Arabidopsis thaliana: one gene and its partners. The protein of the gene in region 2 interacts with the protein of the main gene of each other region in a pairwise test. Each region holds a gene or a part of one and is shown on either strand. Other genes may lie near its edges. The genes, in order: KT2, NRT1.1 and AT1G25510.

Region 1 (7,503 bases), on a different chromosome or scaffold from region 2:
CAACAAAATCAGTTTCATATAAAGCAAACATGAGAACCTAAGTTGCTTACACTGGAGTCCATGGAATCAGTCATTTCTTCATCCACCCTCACACGCTTTTCCCTGTTTTGGCCAGTTAGATCCAAAAACCGGTTTTTTAGCTCTTGTGAAGAACATTCAGTCCACTGGTTTTTTCCCGGAACCTAAACATTGCAATCAAGTGTTATTATGTTTAAACATATATGAGAGACCAACAACAAAAAAGAAAGATCCGCATGAGACAAAACATACTGGAACACAGTAAAGCAAGCGACGCTCCCAAACTTGAATTTCAGTGGAAGAACCCTCAGGAAACTGTGAAACATCACTGTACTTGTTTGTTCTCCATGTTGAATCATCCTAAACAGAACGTAAAAACAGAAACAGTTACTGATAGATAAAGATTGAATTCTTCTTTAGTAGAAACCATCAAAAGTCATATTCCTACCTTGTAAGCACCAGCATAGAATTCATTCCCAAGCATGTCCTGTATCATTCCACGAAACCGAACAAGAGTCTTGGGTTGCACCCACTTAATACTTGACGAATCAAGAATTGGAACCTAGTAGACAAAAGAAAACACTATCGGTTAATTAAGAAAAATATCTCAAAACAGATCCTTGAAAAAACCCAAATTAACCAATCTATGGATAGACTAAAACCTAAAGTAAGCTGATTTACTTAGAAACAGAGCCAAAGTACACGAAAAAATCAACCTATTATGCTAATTGGGTAGTAATTAATCAAAACATACTCAATTGCCCTAAACCCAAAAAAAAATAGAAACAGAGTAAAGGTTTTAGGGCAAACCTGGGAGATAGCAGATTCGTCGGAGAAGTAGTGACGGAACAAATCAACGACACCCCAGTCTTTTCCGACAGACGAAGCCGGATCGTAGCCTGAAGACAGAGCATTTACGAAGGAGAATCGGACGGCTCCTAAAGGGTTGGTCAGACAATCGTAAGCTGGTCCTCCCATATCTCAAAACCAACCTTTGATTTCACTCTTTACCAAAGTACTATGTAGCGAGAATCGCCAAGAATCTAGAGATGAAAGATTGAGTCTTTGCTCAAACACGAATTAAGGGCAATGTCAAGTGTGTATAGTTGGGCCTTTCCCGCCATATCTCCTAGGTTATTCCCGCCATTATCCATGCCCATTCTCCAACTTCCAACGCACCGTTTTGGACCCCTCTCCATACGATGTCGTTTCATGTGTATAATAAACTAATTCATTTGGCATATATGATCCTCTGACCATCTTGGTCTTAAGATTTGTTAAAAGTCAAACCCCAGACTCACAAACACAGAAACAGAGATCTATGAAGCTAAACATGACGAATTTACAACAGAGGAATTAGGTTTTCATATATTTAGTTTTTTCATAAGTCAAACAACATAAACCATGCCGACTTCTAAAAGAGAAACAGGTGGAACCTTAAGAGCCACGTCAGGTCCTCTACAGTTCCTTCTCAAGAAATTATAACCGAAATTAACTGCTAATCTCTTCATCACCGATGATCCTTGTTTCGCTTTCACATGTGAATGTCCCAATATAAACGCAGTTCCTGCTTCTTGCGCTGCCAGCAAATCCCTCAGCTCGCTTCTCAGTTCCGCATCTGCTTCTGCTGACGATGTTGATCCTTCGTCCTCGTAACTGTTTTCCTCAACCGCAAACCTCACCCGTCTTATGGTGGCGGTTGGGGCTGGTTCGGCCATTTGTATGACGTCTTCCATGCTTTCGACTGTGGAGAATCCGATGGAGACACTCTCTGGTTGGAGATTGTCTTCGATCTCGTAAGCTACTGTTCCGATCACGGCTAGTCTTGACTCGCTTGAGGATTCGTTGGACTGGACAGAACGAGCGTTGTCGTCTTCTTGTTGTGTTCTTTTGTGCCAATCGTAACGGATGAAATCCGCCAGCTTGCTTACGAGCTCTGTTTCGAATGAGTCCACGTCTTGATGGACGTCACGGTATCCATACCGAACGATGCATCTGTAAGAGCGGTGGTCAACGGGACCAACACGACCCACGAGGTATCTCTCAGCAGGTGGAACGAACGGGACAGGGACAGATTTCACGCAGACAAAGACAAGAACACGGTGGAAGGCAGGGAGGTTGGTGACGAACCGGGAGAAATTGGCGGGGATTCCAGAGGTTAAATCCGTGAAGACTAAACCGATACCTGGAACTCGAGAAATTCCGAGGCTTGGACCCAATGCAAGAAGCCATTCAAGCGAGACTTTATTCTGGAGATCAAACTCGTATTTCTTAATGGTGGTGTAGTGCCAAACGAACATGATGATCATGAATATTAGAGATAAGAGGATCGGAAGCCAAGCGCCTTCACGAAATTTGGTGAGTGAGGCCGAGAAGTAGAGAAGTTCTATTGAACCGAAAAAGAGAAGGAACGCTAGCGCTAGAATTGGAGGCTTGTGCCAGCAAAGAACAATGACTAATGAGGTAAGACATGTTGTCACTAGCATAACCGCCATTACAGCCAAACCTGCAACCAACCACAAAGGAATATAATCTCAAAGTCGAAGAATCCAAAATTCTTGAGTTGATAAAAGAATCTCATACCTGATGCATTTCCCAGGTGTTTGACATCTCTAAACCCGATAGTAACAGCGATGCAGAGAATCATGAGCATCCAGTTAATCTCCGGTATGTAAATCTGACCATGCATCTTATCGGACGTGTGAATGACTTTGACTCGAGGGAAGCATCCGAGAGACTGGCTCTGGTTTATGATTGAGAAAGTCCCACTGATGATCGCTTGGCTTCCCACAACAGAAGCAAGAATTGCTACAGCAAGCACAGGCCAGTGCAAACATTCTGTTCAAAACCATGGAGTTATATAAACAAAAGATCAGATTACGTTTTCAATGATCAACACCAAAAAAAAATTGAGTTCTTGAAGTAAGGCAAATTACTGACTTGGTACAGAGACGTAAAACCCAATTGCATGAGCAGAATGGTGATGCCGGGATAAGTAAGCAGCTTGCCCCATGTATGCCAATATAAGAGCCGGATAAACCAGGAAGGTAAACGCAATCTACAGCAAACAAAACAAAGATTTATTGAAACCTGTGGCGATATAACAATAAGTAAATCATCCAAGCTAAAGTAGAAACTAACCTGAATTGCTGCGTAATTGAAGTGACCAAGATCAGCAAACATGGCCTCAGCACCTAAAACAAAGACTCAACGAGTTAGATTACTGACATTATTTATGGCGACATTAACAATATCGATTTCTTATATATCTCACCAGTTATGCACAACAAGATCCCGCCTAGAGACATCCATCCGCTTACTCTCGTCTTTCTCAAGAACATGAACATGTATGTAGGAGAAAGAGCTTTGTATATATGAGGATTCCACTGTATTATATTGTACAAGCCAATACCACTTATACAGAGCAGCCAAGTGAGGACAATAGGCGCGAAAACAAACCCAACACGATGTGTCCCAAAATGCTGAAGCGAGAAAAGGCAGACTAGTATGAAGCAGGTAATAGGAATTACTGCATCTGCACGTTTGAACAACAAAGGAAGCCATCATTCATCAGAACTCAAGTAGCAAAAACTAACACTACCCAGTCTTTGTGTACTTACATTGGTGATGTTCTTTAGACATATTCAGCTCAAGACCTGACACAGCAGAGAAAACTACATACAAGAAAAAGAAAAGATTAGAAAACTCTTTTAACTAGCAATTGGACACTGGAATATCTGTCTACAAACACAGAAGCATACATACCGGAGATAGCTGGAGTGAGAAGTCCATCTCCAATAACCATACAAGTCCCAAGAAGAACAAGAAGCAGCAAAGCAGTGTGTAACCACTTGTGTTTCTCCAGATATCTTTTCACACACGAGTCATGGTTCTTCTCCGGTGGATGCTCCAGCTTATAAGTGGACAGTGCCTCATCAGAGACTTGTCGGTTTGGGAGGAGGCTAACTTTGACATGACGGCAGATCAATGAGTACAAAGCAAAAGTTCCACCTGAAAACAAATGTAACAAACCTTCATAAGCAAAGCAAATAAAGTTTCTCGATGATTTTCTGCTCTGAAAGTGTCTCTTCCCCTCACCTTCTCCGTTATCATCAGCTCGGAGGACAATGAAGACATACTTAAGCAAAGGAACCAAAGTTAAAGTCCAGAAAACAAAAGACATAACACCGTAGATCTCTTCATTGGTCTCTGAATGTTGAATGTCCTCAGCAAAAGTGCTCTTAAAGACATAAAGCGGAGAGATACTCAAGTCTCCATAGACAACACCAAGACTCTGGTAAGCAAGAAGCAAAACCGACCTCCATGATTCCTTCTGCATAATTGTCAAAGTTCCAATCTTTATTCAGCTCAAAATTCCAAAATTGAGCAAATCTAAAAGAAAATGGACAACAAACCTTAGAAGAACGAGAACCACAGCATTTTCCGAGATTGAGATCCATGGTTCTTAAATGTTCAGCCTAACACGCTAAAGCTGAACAACCAAAGAAAGAAGAAGATAGATTTATGAATCTGAAGCAATTGAAAAGTAATGTCGAAAAGAGTGAAACCTACAAAGTAACAATAAATAGGACAACCAAACTCTGTTCCCAAATTAGAAGGAAGAAAACAAAGTAGGCCACATTCACGCACATGCCATTCTCATATCCACGAATTTAGATAAAACCCAGAAAAAGAAGAACAATCAAAAACCCTAAATCTCTAAAATTGAACAACAATTACCCAGAAAATGAAAAGACTTGAAAAGTGTAGAGCCTAGTGTTAGGCTTTTAGCCATAAATGGAGATAAATCAATTATTAGCTTTTGCCCATTTTGCCAACTGTGTTTTTTCCACTTACAGAATTTTTAATTGAAGTATGAATTTTTCTGGGTGGATGACGTGAATCGATGTGTAGGAGTGAAGAAAGAGATGATCTGCTTATCATTGAATTAAAGATATTGAAGACAAAGAACGACGATACAAGATAAGAACCCATAGCCTCCACATGCTATAGCCAAATTAAAAAAACGTCTTTGTCTTTGCGTTTTCTCGGGGAAAAAAAGAAAGAGAGCAAACGTGGCGAGAATATTTACAGGTGAAGAGACAGAAACACGTGAGTGCTCTCCCGACAGTTACATGACATCTAAAGGAAAAAGCTTTTCTTTTTTTTCTTATACTTACCAACAGAATTTGCGCCATTGATTTTGCAAGCTTTGTACTATTGATAAGCCTCAAAATCTGGTCATCACCAACCTCACTCACTCTCTTTTCTCTCTATTTTCCGAAACTTTTTGTTGCAATAACAAAAATCGAAACTGTTTTTTTTTTTATTTCTCTCTGTATCAGTCAACAACAATAATATATTTTGTTAAAAGGTATATATAACGCGTAATTAATATATACTTATATTAGTATTTGTTACTATCTATTGATAGTCACTAGTATTAAATTTTTAATACTACCTTATTATTTCTCTTTTATAATTTGTGAATTTCTTTAACTTGGCAGATTGTAAGAAAGAAAAAAATTGATATGAAATGTATTTAAGATTTTGTCCCTATTATGGATTATGGTGAACAACTAGATGATATTTAATAAATGAATAGCAACATATAAAATAATTAATAACAAATCTATATATACAGTTATAAACTTTTAGAATGGTTTTATGGCATTTTAAAGGTTTTTTTTAAAAAATTTGGTTGCATCTACTTTTTTATATCTCATTTTTTTACAAATAATTATTATTATTTAACACATGTCTTTATTTGTACACATCTCTGAATTGTTTTAGTGTGTAAAAATTAGTTGTTTAGCTAATGAATCATAGATTTACAAATTTATTCTATAAAAGTTTGTTGATTTTTAGTAATCTATAAATTTAAAAATTTGTTTCGAAATAATTGAATTTGAAGTCATTGATTGGTGCTCTATTTCTATTCCTTTCTTTTTATGCTTCTTTCTCTTTCACTCCTCTTTTATGTGTTTCTTCCTCTACCTTTTTGTTTTTGGGGTGTTTTCTTTCTCTCCCTTTTGTTAGGTGTTGCGCAATTTCAACCTTTATACATTATTTTCTTGCTATCCCATTTGACATTATTGTAGTCGAACAATTATAAAACCAGATCGGAATCCAATTCTCCAAATCGATTCAGCTTGCTCTTCACAACAATCTTTTCTATTATTATATAATTCAAACTTTCAAAGCATATAGTAGACTTGGTCGGTGGATTCAATGCATGTATAAAGAGACTTATTACCAAATCAAATAATAAATTAATATTATATGCATGCGTTGCATGACGACAAATCACACTAACATTTGATATTTCAAAGCAAAGAACAAAATGTATTTTATATGATTTAAGATTCTATACGTGATTTGGGGAATGCTGTCTTTTCAGTTTGGTGTATGATGTATCAGTCAAATGTGAACGATATTTGTTTTTTGCTAGTCAAAAACTTATACACTGTTGATATGTGAAGCTCACTAGAGAGACGATTGTTTTCTGGAGTCTCTTATATCATCAAGATTTTGCTTGGAACACTCTTTTTCTGGAGTCTGTTTTAGTGAAGATTAGGTTCGCCATGGGTTTTTTGCAAGTTATTTTCTTGATTGCCAAAAGCAGGTTTTAGGATATACTAATGATTCTTAAGAATAGAACTTATTATTTATACTTATATATATATATATATATATATATTGGGCACAAATATAGACCAATCATTTTCCGAAGTTTTAAGATTAAAAAGTTCAAAATTGGGCGATTTAATTAATGATTATGAAATTACAAATCATATTTTAGGATTGCTGAATCCCTCTTTCATTATAATAATGTGACTGTTACAGTAATTAGTGTACAAGAAAATGTTTGTCGTCTACTATCAACTCTTATTAATTTTTGCAATTTTGCCAAAATAAAAATGAATTCGAATTGATCTTACACGAAACCATTTTGTTTTTACTTATTAGAGTTTCTTAACCAATTGACCATTTTCTTCTTCTTTTTATTGTTTACCCGCAAACACAATCTAGGAATGAAAATCTTGTTTTTCTTGGCAATCGGCGGCATATATATTATGGGAAAGAAACTTTTCGTTTTTTCTTGGTAAAATGGGTAACAAGTGATGATAGATTGGTGATGGTAAGTAAAATTTACTTGGGAGATAATTGAGTTTCTTAGTTGGCGATATGGGATGCTGTGATTTAGTGTTTACTCATTAACGTACATTTATAAGCCAATGTAATTCCAAATCTGGAAAGATTTTAGGCAGTAAAAAACAGAGAACGATAAATACTTTTTTTATGCTTTGTTAACGGGCCAGTAAGCCAAAATATGCATAGTTTTCGATGTTAATTTATAAACAACTTGCTTTGGTGAATGGTTAAAGACTGTATAACCGACAGAATGTTCCTTTTGTCACCAACTGACAGAATGTTTTTGTGTTTTCTTTCCCATATTTTTATTTCATTTATGTTTTTGATAAC
Region 2 (7,582 bases):
TGATCGATACCTTATCTGAATTGAAACTATTCTGATCTATCCTAACAATATTAAAAATGGTTTACATGCGCTATCATCATTTTTTCTACTAAAGGATTTAACGCTTATTGTAAAGGCCTTTTTTTTTTTTTTACTCTGATGGTTTGTCAGAAGATTATTCGTTAATGAATTATACGTTTGTTATAAACTGTAAATCTTCATTTTGAATGTAAAACTCAAAAATTAAAATTGAAGCAAAAGGTAGTTTCCTTGTTCGTGCTAACTGCTAATGTCGATTAAGATTCATCCTCTTGAAATGACCGAGTCAACGCTGAGGGAGAATCTCACGTGGTCCTACCAACTATCACGTGCCAAAAATCTGGGCCCTGAGATATACCTATAAGCAAAAGCCAGCTCCGCCCAAAACATTTGATCCATCCATTTTCATTTTTATTTTCCAATTTTGAAGTTAGGGTTTATTTTTATAAGTTTCCATTAATTTATTTTCTTATTCCTTTTCGGAGGATGTGTTTATTAATTTAATTTCAATAGAAGATAATATATTTGGGTTCACCACTCGTTCTCTTTTTCTTTTTGGATGGGACTCTTCATTGTGACTTTTTTGTTCTCGCTCTTCCACAATCTTTGGATGTGTACAAAATAATCGATTGTTGGGGATATTATAGTAAATTTAGCAATATGAAACTAGCAACGAAGAAAGTGTTTATTGATGGGTTCAAAATTTCATCGATCTGCATATCAATAACTCGGAAAGAGATGGATCATGACACATAGTATACAATAAATTTTATAAATTTCGAAAATTAACTAATTGAGGATAGAAATTCATCAATTACTTAATAAATAAATAAAAAACTGATTCAAATGTATGTTTTACTTCTGTAACATACAATTTCTTGCTTTTCTTGAAAATTGACTCGTTTTTTATATTGGATATTTTACATAGACTTTGAGACTTATTAATAAAACTAACTAACCATCTCTTACAAATTGTTGGAATAAATTATTTTTATTTTTCTGTTGGCTCTATAAAATGAAAATGACCTTTGTTCTTCTTCTTTATACTCCTATATATGTTTTCTCCAGAGAGAAAGAGAACCATTGAAGTTGCGAGACTTCCAATTATATATATAGTTCATGAAAGTCCTGTGACCATGCTCTTTATTTATTTTATTTCACTATACGTTAAATAAATGGAAAGTAGGGTAATAATCATATTGCAGCATGATTCATTTTAGTGGCGTCTAAGAAGCATTCATTTTGAGCCATTAAATCTCAAGGTAGACTTTCCCATTAACACAAAAGAAGAAAAAATTGGTACGTAATCATACCAACATCTACAAATCTTTGGTTTCAATTTTGTAACAAAGACCTAGATTGTTGACAAACAAAAAGCAAATACCTAAAAGGACTTTTATTGACTTCTATAAAGATGTTTTGATTGAAATTTCATATAATTTAATAGTTTCCTCAAACTATATGCAATAAAATTATAATTTGATAATTACATGTGAAAGAAAACATGACTCTCAAATTAATATGAGTCGATTATCAATAAATTTTTGTGATATGGCTGTGCTGCAGAACAACTGAATGGGCCTAGAAGTAAAGTTGATATTGAGCAAACAAAAAACGAAATAGATTTTTTTTTTCTTTTGGGCAAACTCAAAAAACGAAATAGATATGCCTCGACAATACTACAAAATCTCAAATGAACAATATTGATGAAAATGCGTTTGTAACACAGAAATCAATTATTTTGAATTATTTTCCATATATAGTACAGACGTAAAAAACATACTGTATTATCTTTCATGGAAGTAAAATAATTTTCCAAGAAATAGAACAAATGTAAAACAGGTGGTGGCTAAAACTGGTGCTTTTAATGGCTAATGCCATTGAATCACTGACAAAATGACCGATGACTTCAACTTAAAAGTTCAAGCCCACAGTTCCAAAGGTAGAGGAAGTGGTAAAATTTAGGTATGGTCTCTTTCTCTCTCTCTCAATTTTCTCTTTCTACAAATATATACTACAGTTACAGTAGTAGTTATTATTATTAATTATTCTCTCCCCAATCAAACAACACTCATCAGAGTCACACATGTGTCACTTTTTTCTTCAATATTTTAGTTTTATGAATAAAAAATCAAAATAAAACAATAAAAACTTTTTTAACTTGGCTAGTTTCCCAGTATAAATAGATGTATCAACGAACACATTTAAGACCACAAAAGAAACCAAGAGCTCTCAAACAAAACAGCCTTTTACATAAGAACAAACACCCCCAAAAACTGCAAAAAAAAGAGAGAGATCATTAATCCATCTTCAAGATGTCTCTTCCTGAAACTAAATCTGATGATATCCTTCTTGATGCTTGGGACTTCCAAGGCCGTCCCGCCGATCGCTCAAAAACCGGCGGCTGGGCCAGCGCCGCCATGATTCTTTGTAAGTATAATCACATAATAAAAGTTCTAGAGAAAAGCTACCAACAATATACATGCTGAAGACAAGAATTGAAACTTTTTAATGGCATTTACTAAGTTATAAGTTTCTTATGGCTATCATTCTTATTCTTTTATGTATTCTCGATGTATCCAACTTTATCATTAACAAAATTTTATTGTGTGAAGGTATTGAGGCCGTGGAGAGGCTGACGACGTTAGGTATCGGAGTTAATCTGGTGACGTATTTGACGGGAACTATGCATTTAGGCAATGCAACTGCGGCTAACACCGTTACCAATTTCCTCGGAACTTCTTTCATGCTCTGTCTCCTCGGTGGCTTCATCGCCGATACCTTTCTCGGCAGGTTTGTCTATAAATATATTTATATTTACTTAACTAAAATCATTCAGATTCTTTTTAAAATATTAATTTGAGTTCATTCATTTTGTTTTGTATAGGTACCTAACGATTGCTATATTCGCCGCAATCCAAGCCACGGTAAGGACCTCAAAAGTCCCTTTCTCCTTACCAAAACTTATACCCAAGAAAACGAAGAAAATAAAAATATTGTCTAGTCAATAAACAAATCGAAATAGTAAACAGCATAAGTCGTTATTTTTGTTATAGTTTTCCGAAAAATAATATCCGTGTTATGAACTATGATGCTATCAGGGTGTTTCAATCTTAACTCTATCAACAATCATACCGGGACTTCGACCACCAAGATGCAATCCAACAACGTCGTCTCACTGCGAACAAGCAAGTGGAATACAACTGACGGTCCTATACTTAGCCTTATACCTCACCGCTCTAGGAACGGGAGGCGTGAAGGCTAGTGTCTCGGGTTTCGGGTCGGACCAATTCGATGAGACCGAACCAAAAGAACGATCGAAAATGACATATTTCTTCAACCGTTTCTTCTTTTGTATCAACGTTGGCTCTCTTTTAGCTGTGACGGTCCTTGTCTACGTACAAGACGATGTTGGACGCAAATGGGGCTATGGAATTTGCGCGTTTGCGATCGTGCTTGCACTCAGCGTTTTCTTGGCCGGAACAAACCGCTACCGTTTCAAGAAGTTGATCGGTAGCCCGATGACGCAGGTTGCTGCGGTTATCGTGGCGGCGTGGAGGAATAGGAAGCTCGAGCTGCCGGCAGATCCGTCCTATCTCTACGATGTGGATGATATTATTGCGGCGGAAGGTTCGATGAAGGGTAAACAAAAGCTGCCACACACTGAACAATTCCGGTACGATTCTTTTAATTAACTCATCATTTGCTTTCCACGTACGATCCTCAAAACTTACAATGATTTAAATTTTAAGATAAAAGTTTTAAAATTTTTCTTTTTCTTTTCCATTTAAGGGTTAATTGAAATAATTGAGGTACTGGTTCCCTTAATTAAATGTGATAGTATCAGTAGACTTTAAAAATGTGAAATTAAAAGTGGGGTTGTGTGGGTGAGAAATAACTCGAAATGCTCGTGTCCTTTAATTATAGTGGGACCGTAAATATTTCTCATTATATGCCTACTTGGCATTAGAAATCATTTTTTTTTGACAGCCATTATAAATTAATTAAAAGGTGTTGAATATCTTTCTTTGTCTTTTGTTACGGGGAAAATAAATTATTTTCATAATATTATTACTCGACCATACAGCGAAACTGGTCCAGGATACGAATTATACAGCTAATTACAACATTTTTGGATTTTTGGGTTCAAAGTCCCTACTTTGGCATTTTATATTGTATATTTTTTCCTTAAAATCCTATGTGTGTGTGCATGTGTATATCTTTGTTAGATAACACGTTAAGTTCGGTTCATAGAATAGGTAGGAAAATAAAAGTAGTCTCTCGGAATTAGTCGGAAAGATAAAGTAATTCAGATAAACAAATGAATAAGTATATGCAAGTGATATCAAGTGGGGTAAAATTCTCCATCTTTACTTTTTGCCTATAAAAAATTTCACACCCACTCGTAGAATATTTGGTTTTTACAGAAAGAGTATCTTCATCATTGCGGAAAATTAAATACACCAATTTGCTATTTTATCTTTATTATAGTATTATAATTATGATTATGATTCTAATGCCTTATAACTTTAAATACACATACACTGACACACATATATCTATATTTATATTCCCCTGACTCGTGAGTTTTCCCCCTTTAAGTACGGTATCTTTTATTTTTGCTAACTTAAGTACAGTATCTTTTATCCATCAATCCCTATGCATACCTACATAGAAATAAAAGAATCCAAAGGAATCAATTTTTCTTTATACCAGATAATTTATGGAAAATCTATTTAGCATCTCTAGATATTGGAATCCCTTTCTCGGAAATAAAACTAATAAAGAAGAAGAGACGAGAAGTTAGGGTAGGGAGGCAGGTGTTTTGTCTGTAGTGAAAACGATCAAATATCGTGTCGTAGCACCTCCACTACTTTACACCTTCACCGGGACAGACCCAAAGTTAGGCATAATTAAGAACCCTAGCGTCACATGCACGACACGTGCTTTGCGTGCTCGGTGCTTCATTAAATTTCTCTTTCGTTTGGGTCTCTCTAAAAGGTAGTTGAAAACTAAAGAAAAAACCTTTTACACTTTTCCATAAATTCAAACTCTTAACTTTTTTTTGCCTACACTATTTTAAAAGCAATTACGTATTTGTCATGCATGTGTGTGAAGGATATATCATCTTGAAAAGATTCCACGTAACTATCTCCACAACATGTTGATTCAAATATTCAATGCGTAAGCTATATTCCAAAAAAAGAAACAATGTATTATTGATATGAAATTTCAATAAATAGGGACACTTCATAATTTTCTAAGAAACACACAAAAGATCTTTGGTTTGAAAAATCAGATACTTATCTTTAATCCAATATATGTAAAATATTTTATCTCCATTTTACATAATTTACTATTATATTCTAATTATTCCTTATATCATTTTTGATGCCACAGTTCATTAGATAAGGCAGCAATAAGGGATCAGGAAGCGGGAGTTACCTCGAATGTATTCAACAAGTGGACACTCTCAACACTAACAGATGTTGAGGAAGTGAAACAAATCGTGCGAATGTTACCAATTTGGGCAACATGCATCCTCTTCTGGACCGTCCACGCTCAATTAACGACATTATCAGTCGCACAATCCGAGACATTGGACCGTTCCATCGGGAGCTTCGAGATCCCTCCAGCATCGATGGCAGTCTTCTACGTCGGTGGCCTCCTCCTAACCACCGCCGTCTATGACCGCGTCGCCATTCGTCTATGCAAAAAGCTATTCAACTACCCCCATGGTCTAAGACCGCTTCAACGGATCGGTTTGGGGCTTTTCTTCGGATCAATGGCTATGGCTGTGGCTGCTTTGGTCGAGCTCAAACGTCTTAGAACTGCACACGCTCATGGTCCAACAGTCAAAACGCTTCCTCTAGGGTTTTATCTACTCATCCCACAATATCTTATTGTCGGTATCGGCGAAGCGTTAATCTACACAGGACAGTTAGATTTCTTCTTGAGAGAGTGCCCTAAAGGTATGAAAGGGATGAGCACGGGTCTATTGTTGAGCACATTGGCATTAGGCTTTTTCTTCAGCTCGGTTCTCGTGACAATCGTCGAGAAATTCACCGGGAAAGCTCATCCATGGATTGCCGATGATCTCAACAAGGGCCGTCTTTACAATTTCTACTGGCTTGTGGCCGTACTTGTTGCCTTGAACTTCCTCATTTTCCTAGTTTTCTCCAAGTGGTACGTTTACAAGGAAAAAAGACTAGCTGAGGTGGGGATTGAGTTGGATGATGAGCCGAGTATTCCAATGGGTCATTGATCATGAATTCATGATCATGATCATGATGATGAACATTATGCATGTCTATGTTGATATGTTTGAATTTGATTTTGAGTTTTGTTTGTATATTTTATGATGCTTTTCTTAATTACCTCTTGTTTCCGAGTCGACAAATAATGGACCGACCGATAAGGGATAAAAGTTAAAGTTTTCCCATCAGGTTCTGTATAAAAGCAGAAATTGTAACATTTCTTAAGATTTGACGCAATTAACGTCTTTTTGTCTTCAATTTCCATTTTTCATTTTTTCCCAGTAAATTATCATACCATTCAACGTTTGTTTTCTCACTTGTTTTGGTATCGTTTGTTTTCGAATATGTGAATAATTTGGACCAGAACTAGGCGTCTAGGCCACTAGCTAGTGCCTAGTGGACTATCACACCTTTCTTTTGTAATATTGGTAAACAAAAAAAGTTGTCTTTAAAACTATAATTGAATTATGACCGAGCTCTGTGAATTTACTGGCTCAATTGTCTCTCGATGACTACTGGTCAAGTGATTAATTTGAATTATCAAGGAGCTGCATGATTAAGTCCAAAACATATATAATCATGATGAATACAAATTAAATATGACAAATGATGAATATTACTTTTATTTGTTTACACTTGTTACTTTTATTTTTTGGATATATACTTTTATATCTTTCAACTATGTAGCTAATTGGATAAAGAATCATCAGTCTAAAGTCTAAACTGATCAACAATCCAGTTTTTTTTTTCAATTATTTTTCAATCAGATAAATACCAATTATTAGCTATAATTTCGATGAATTACTATCGAATTGTTTATAGGGAATTTAATGAAAAAAACCCTCAATTTTGGCCAGATCCATTTTTAAACCCTGAACTATGTTTTTAGTAAAACAAACCCTGAACTAAAACCTGTTAATAAACTTAACCCTACAGTAATTAAATATTAATGGGATATTAATTTCCAAAAATCGACCAAAGAACAATGACAGAATCCGTGATCCAACTGAAGATCGTCCACCTCAAAAAGTTCCTTATACACGTGAAAAAGTTCAAATGGTAAAATAGAAAACAATGAATTATGTTTCACAAGATCTTCTTTTTCAAATTATTTAATTTAATCTTTGCATATTTAGACTTGCAGCAACTGTCAACAAGTCGGACACAACAAACGTTCATGCAAGCGTAAAGCAGTGCCAAAACCACCCAAGAAACCTCAAGGACGACCAAGGAAAAAACAGAAAACAATGGATGAAGAGAACCCTATCACTCAGCCAATACAATCTTCTCTTCAAAGTTAATGCTTG
Region 3 (5,161 bases), 4.9 Mb from region 2:
CGAACCCCTGCCAACAAAGTCAGATAATCTGAATATCTTGGATTAAATCATCCTTATGACAACAAAATATGATGAAGAAGTATTACCCTCCTCCTTCTTTGAAACCGTCCCACAAAGACCATAGCCCAAAACCAAAGAACAACAATGTTGTTATGTGATGAGTCCATTTGCGAGAGATCTGAAGGTGAGGGTTTGAATCAGTATTTACTATTTAGTAAGAAAAAAAGGCTTATGTAGAAATACAAAATAAGTTGAAGCCATACCAGATTAGGAGCAGCCCATCCAAGAGTAGCAGAGAGGATAGTCATAACCTAAGAATTAAACAAAGACATAAGCTTCAAAATCTATGGAGAGAGGTCACTGAAACCAATAGGTCAAAGCATTCAGAAAAACTTACAATCAGAGCCGATAAACAACCAGCCAACACAAGTCTCCTAGGATAACGCATAGCCAAAATCTGATATGACAAAAAAAAAAAAGAGTTTAAGCTTGCAAAATCAAGATAACAACAGAAGTATCTTACACACCTTCAAAGAGCCTGTGGCAGATTCTAAACTACCAAAACACTATGAAACTGAATGGCAATATAAAAGCTACAGACAAAGGATCCAAAGATGCCATCTAGATTCTTAATCAGGAAAAGGCAATCCAATAAGTAAGACTTTAGACTTCGATTCATGTAAAAGCCATTGACTTCATCGACCTTAAACCCTCAATAGATTACATGAAGCAACAAAATCTAAAACTAAAGCGAAGAGGAGACGAAACACTTACTGCTGCAGCGAAAAACGTCTTGTCACCAATCTCCGATACAAAGGTCATAGCAAGTGACTTCGTAAAACCCTATAAAACCCCAACAATCATAAACCCAGATTAGCTCCACAACGATTCTTACGAGTTTACTCCCCAGAAAACATTAATCTTTTACTCTACCTGCAAAACCGAGCTCATGGCTGCCGAATTATAAAATCGACGGCGAATTAGCTACGAAGGAGAAGAAAAAAACGAAACTTTCGATTTTTCTCCGGCTGTGTTACAAAGAAGACGGAGTGATCAATCGCCGGAGTTAATTAACAGTCGTCGAGAGAGAGCAAATAGACGAGACGAACATTCGCTGAAGAGCTAAAAGATGAATCCTTTTTTTTTGGGGATTGTAGGTGAATTTGATTCTGATTCTTTAACCCTTAAGATCTTACCACGTGGATTGATAACAACCAACGATTTTAATGTGTGGGACCCAGAAAACCCAACTTGAGTTTAGAAGATGTTAATTTGTTCCCTTGTGTTGTTGTTTGCGACTTGCGTCACTTGCTCGAGCAAAACAATAAAGACTTTTACTTCTTTGATAACTAACTTGTCGCGATCACGATTGAGACGTAACGTTTAGAATAGTATAACACGTAAGTTTTTGAGAGATGCTCAAAACTGATTGGGTATTTTAGTATTTTTCGCTTATCTCAACTAAATTTTATTTCGTTTTATCCTACTATTTTATACAAATAAAAAAAAATTGACCGATTTCTGATTGGTGGCGAATTGATTCGCAAACGTATGTAATTATATTTGATTTGATCCAACTGTACTTATATTAATATTAATTTATTTAATTCTAAAATTGATGAATAACTAAAATCAGGTGGCAATATTCTATCTATCTCAACTGCATATCATGTTAAGCTGAGATTAGAAGTGTATTTTAGAATTTATAGTTTAGATTTAGGCAGCAAGGTTAATGAGTTAATGTAGTAGACTTGGGGTATGAAATGGCCCAAACATCCAAGTTAAAAGCCTAGATAAGAGTTACCCACAGGCCCATGAGGGACCATAAATTCACCATTTTTAAGTCAGCAAATTCCTCCACATTGTTAATACCTTAACATGATATGCATATGTATGTTTTTTTGTTGTTGTCAGATTGCGTATGTATGTATTGGTTTACAGTTATAGCTTTCTTTTTAGGTTAATTGTTTAGTATCATATAGCTTTATAGACATAGGTCTGGATAAAATGAAATAAGTGAGCTGTTATAATTTGAATGAAAGTCATCATTAACAAAGCTAAGCTCATAGCCAAATAAAATTTGTCAAAGTGCGAAGATGTGAAACACTCAAAAGTGGCTGACTTAATAAAATCTAAAACAACAATCTCCACACTAACCGCATTGAGATCATAAAACAAGTTTATTTAAATCCTCACACTTAAAGAGGATGAAGAAACCTCCTCTTCCTCTTTAACCATTTATCTAATCTTTGGATTAATTCTTCAAGAAGAGATACTTACTTATATAAATCTCCTCGAAATCTGCAAACCCCCAAAACACAGCTTGTCTTTGTTTTAATTAAAAGAAGCTTTTGTCTCATTTTCCCTTCCCCACCAAACACACTTTTGTCTTCTCTTTAATAAACCTCATTCACTTCATCTTCTTCACTGTTAACGGTCGGAATCTAAAAAATGTCTCCTAACTACTCCTTCTTCTTCTTCATCTTCTTCCTCACTTCACACTCTTCTGTTTTCTCCAGAATCTTACCAGAGACCTCCACAACCACTACCTCAATTCTCAATGTCGCTGACTCCATCCACAGAACCAAGTATACGTCGTCGTTTCGGTTAAACCAGCAAGAAGAACAGACTCACTCTGCTTCTTCTTCTTTCAGCTTGCAGCTTCATTCACGAGTTTCCGTCCGAGGAACTGAACACTCAGACTATAAGTCACTCACACTAGCCAGACTCAACCGTGACACAGCCCGAGTCAAATCTCTCATAACCCGTTTAGATCTAGCCATCAACAACATATCCAAAGCAGATCTCAAACCCATCAGCACAATGTACACCACTGAGGAACAAGATATCGAAGCTCCTTTAATCTCCGGCACGACTCAAGGAAGTGGCGAGTACTTCACACGCGTCGGTATCGGAAAACCGGCGCGTGAAGTTTATATGGTTCTAGATACTGGAAGTGACGTGAACTGGCTACAATGTACTCCTTGCGCTGACTGTTACCACCAAACCGAACCAATCTTCGAGCCATCGTCGTCTTCTTCTTACGAGCCTCTCTCTTGTGACACTCCACAGTGCAATGCCCTTGAAGTCTCAGAATGTAGAAACGCCACGTGTCTTTACGAGGTTTCTTACGGTGATGGTTCTTACACCGTTGGAGATTTCGCCACCGAGACTCTCACAATCGGCTCAACTCTAGTTCAAAACGTCGCCGTTGGTTGTGGACACAGCAACGAAGGGTTGTTCGTCGGCGCCGCCGGTTTACTTGGACTCGGCGGTGGTTTGTTAGCTCTTCCGTCGCAGCTCAACACGACGTCGTTCTCGTACTGTCTCGTTGACCGTGACTCAGACTCGGCTTCGACCGTGGATTTCGGGACTTCTCTTTCTCCTGACGCCGTCGTGGCTCCGTTGCTACGTAACCACCAGCTCGACACGTTTTACTACCTAGGCCTCACCGGAATAAGCGTCGGCGGCGAGTTGCTTCAGATTCCTCAGTCTTCTTTCGAGATGGACGAGTCAGGCAGCGGTGGGATCATCATCGACTCAGGAACCGCCGTGACTCGTCTCCAGACCGAAATCTATAACTCGCTTAGAGACTCGTTCGTGAAAGGAACGTTGGACTTGGAAAAAGCAGCCGGGGTGGCGATGTTTGACACGTGTTATAACCTTTCGGCTAAGACGACGGTAGAAGTCCCGACCGTGGCTTTTCATTTCCCCGGCGGGAAGATGTTGGCTTTGCCGGCGAAGAACTACATGATTCCGGTTGACTCGGTGGGGACATTTTGTTTGGCATTTGCACCGACGGCGAGTTCACTAGCGATTATCGGAAACGTGCAGCAACAAGGGACACGTGTCACTTTCGATTTGGCAAATTCTCTCATTGGATTCTCGTCTAATAAATGCTAAGCTGTTTTCATCAAAAAAAACAAAAATGCTAAGCTGTTTTTTCTATAAATATATTTGAGTTACAATGAAAAGGAAAAGTCACTTAAAAGATAGTAATGTTAAGTTAGAGTACTGTACTACTGTTTGGTTGTGTTTGTTTCTTGTACTTGTTGTTGCAATGCATAGAGTGAAAAAGAGTAAAAAAAAGATGGAATTTGTTTTTGCTAATTTTATGATTAAAGAGTAGAACAATGAATCTTGAGGGGCCTTGTTACAGGTCACATCACACACGAATGAATGACTCCTTCTTTTCTATGACGCATGAATACTCGTAGTGTTGAGAGTTAAAGCCCAAATACAATGTGTGATCGAAGAAGTTAAGCCCAAATACAATATGTGATGTGATACAAAATAACAAAATCTTTGTAAACCAAGAAACGAATGATTGAAAATACAATCTCTTATATGAGTTATGATCATGAAAGTGTAATCCCTAGTACTAACTGATATGAAACAAAGAAAAAAGTGATATGTTTATGGAAGATGAATTTACACAAAACTAAATTAACTCTGGTGATATTCTATTGGATATGTTTAATGAACTCTAATCATTCTATGTAAACAGTATTTTTTAAAAGAGTAACATGGCACAGAGATTTATATTATCAAAAGAGAAAGAAAAAAACATGGCACAAAGAGAGGTGGCGAAGTCATGGTGCCACTACTTGCCATCACAACATATGAAGTGGCAGCTATGGGTTCAATCATTTTGTCCTTAAAAAAAAGCTTTATTTTCCTTTCTCCTTTTTATATGTCAACCTTTTACTTTCTCCTTTGTTCATCCAAAAACATTCTCTTACTTTTACAGTTTCATGCTAGACATAAAACTTATGCCATAAGAGCAAAAAACCTGGATAAAATTCAATGTTTTTGTTAATATTTTCACAATTAAAATAGTGGTATATTTGTTGACAGAAAAAACAAAGAGTCGTAGATTCAATAGATGATTTTGACCGGTTCTTTTAAATATCTGAATAATGAGGTATACAATTCATACGTACATTAAACAACGTCCAAGCAAAAAAAAGAAGAAGAATACATAATTATATAATACAATTTATATCAAACATTTACCACACTTCCCTTGTAGGTGAATTTATAAAAACTTTGACATAAAGTTTGAGAAAACTATATGCAATTTTTCTGTTATATGCATTAAAGGTCCATTTCCAAATAACAAACAGAAATAAAGCAACGAACCAAAAAAGAAAAGAAATAA

Evidence for each region.
Region 1: the proteins of NRT1.1 (region 2) and KT2 interact in a protein complementation assay, tested with the Arabidopsis thaliana proteins (one large-scale study listed by BioGRID).
Region 3: the proteins of NRT1.1 (region 2) and AT1G25510 interact in a protein complementation assay, tested with the Arabidopsis thaliana proteins (one large-scale study listed by BioGRID).

The regions. Positions count from the first base shown.
Region 1 is NC_003071.7:16,928,420-16,935,922, reverse strand, and holds KT2 (potassium transporter 2), read right to left. Parts: upstream 5,369-7,503; 5' UTR 4,759-5,368; exon of another isoform or gene 4,511-4,758; 5' UTR 4,479-4,510; coding exon 4,434-4,478; intron 4,352-4,433; coding exon 4,117-4,351; intron 4,030-4,116; coding exon 3,784-4,029; intron 3,693-3,783; coding exon 3,639-3,692; intron 3,554-3,638; coding exon 3,293-3,553; intron 3,213-3,292; coding exon 3,160-3,212; intron 3,077-3,159; coding exon 2,959-3,076; intron 2,857-2,958; coding exon 2,602-2,856; intron 2,525-2,601; coding exon 1,407-2,524; 3' UTR 1,254-1,406; downstream 1-1,253. Other genes in the region: ETG1 (E2F target protein 1 (ETG1)), read right to left, coding at 51-182, 271-378, 467-580, 829-996. UniProt on the Arabidopsis thaliana protein: Low-affinity potassium transporter. Could mediate the potassium-dependent cell expansion in growing tissues.
Region 2 is NC_003070.9:4,103,008-4,110,589, forward strand, and holds NRT1.1 (nitrate transporter 1.1), read left to right. Parts: upstream 1-2,215; 5' UTR 2,216-2,333; coding exon 2,334-2,448; intron 2,449-2,633; coding exon 2,634-2,811; intron 2,812-2,905; coding exon 2,906-2,945; intron 2,946-3,119; coding exon 3,120-3,694; intron 3,695-5,418; coding exon 5,419-6,283; 3' UTR 6,284-6,594; downstream 6,595-7,582. UniProt on the Arabidopsis thaliana protein: Dual affinity nitrate transporter. Involved in proton-dependent nitrate uptake and in the regulation of the nitrate transporter NRT2.1.
Region 3 is NC_003070.9:8,958,114-8,963,274, reverse strand, and holds AT1G25510 (Eukaryotic aspartyl protease family protein), read left to right. Parts: upstream 1-2,091; 5' UTR 2,092-2,451; coding exon 2,452-3,903; 3' UTR 3,904-4,188; downstream 4,189-5,161. Other genes in the region: AT1G25520 (Uncharacterized protein family (UPF0016)), read right to left, coding at 1-7, 87-178, 264-311, 398-457, 775-843, 934-951.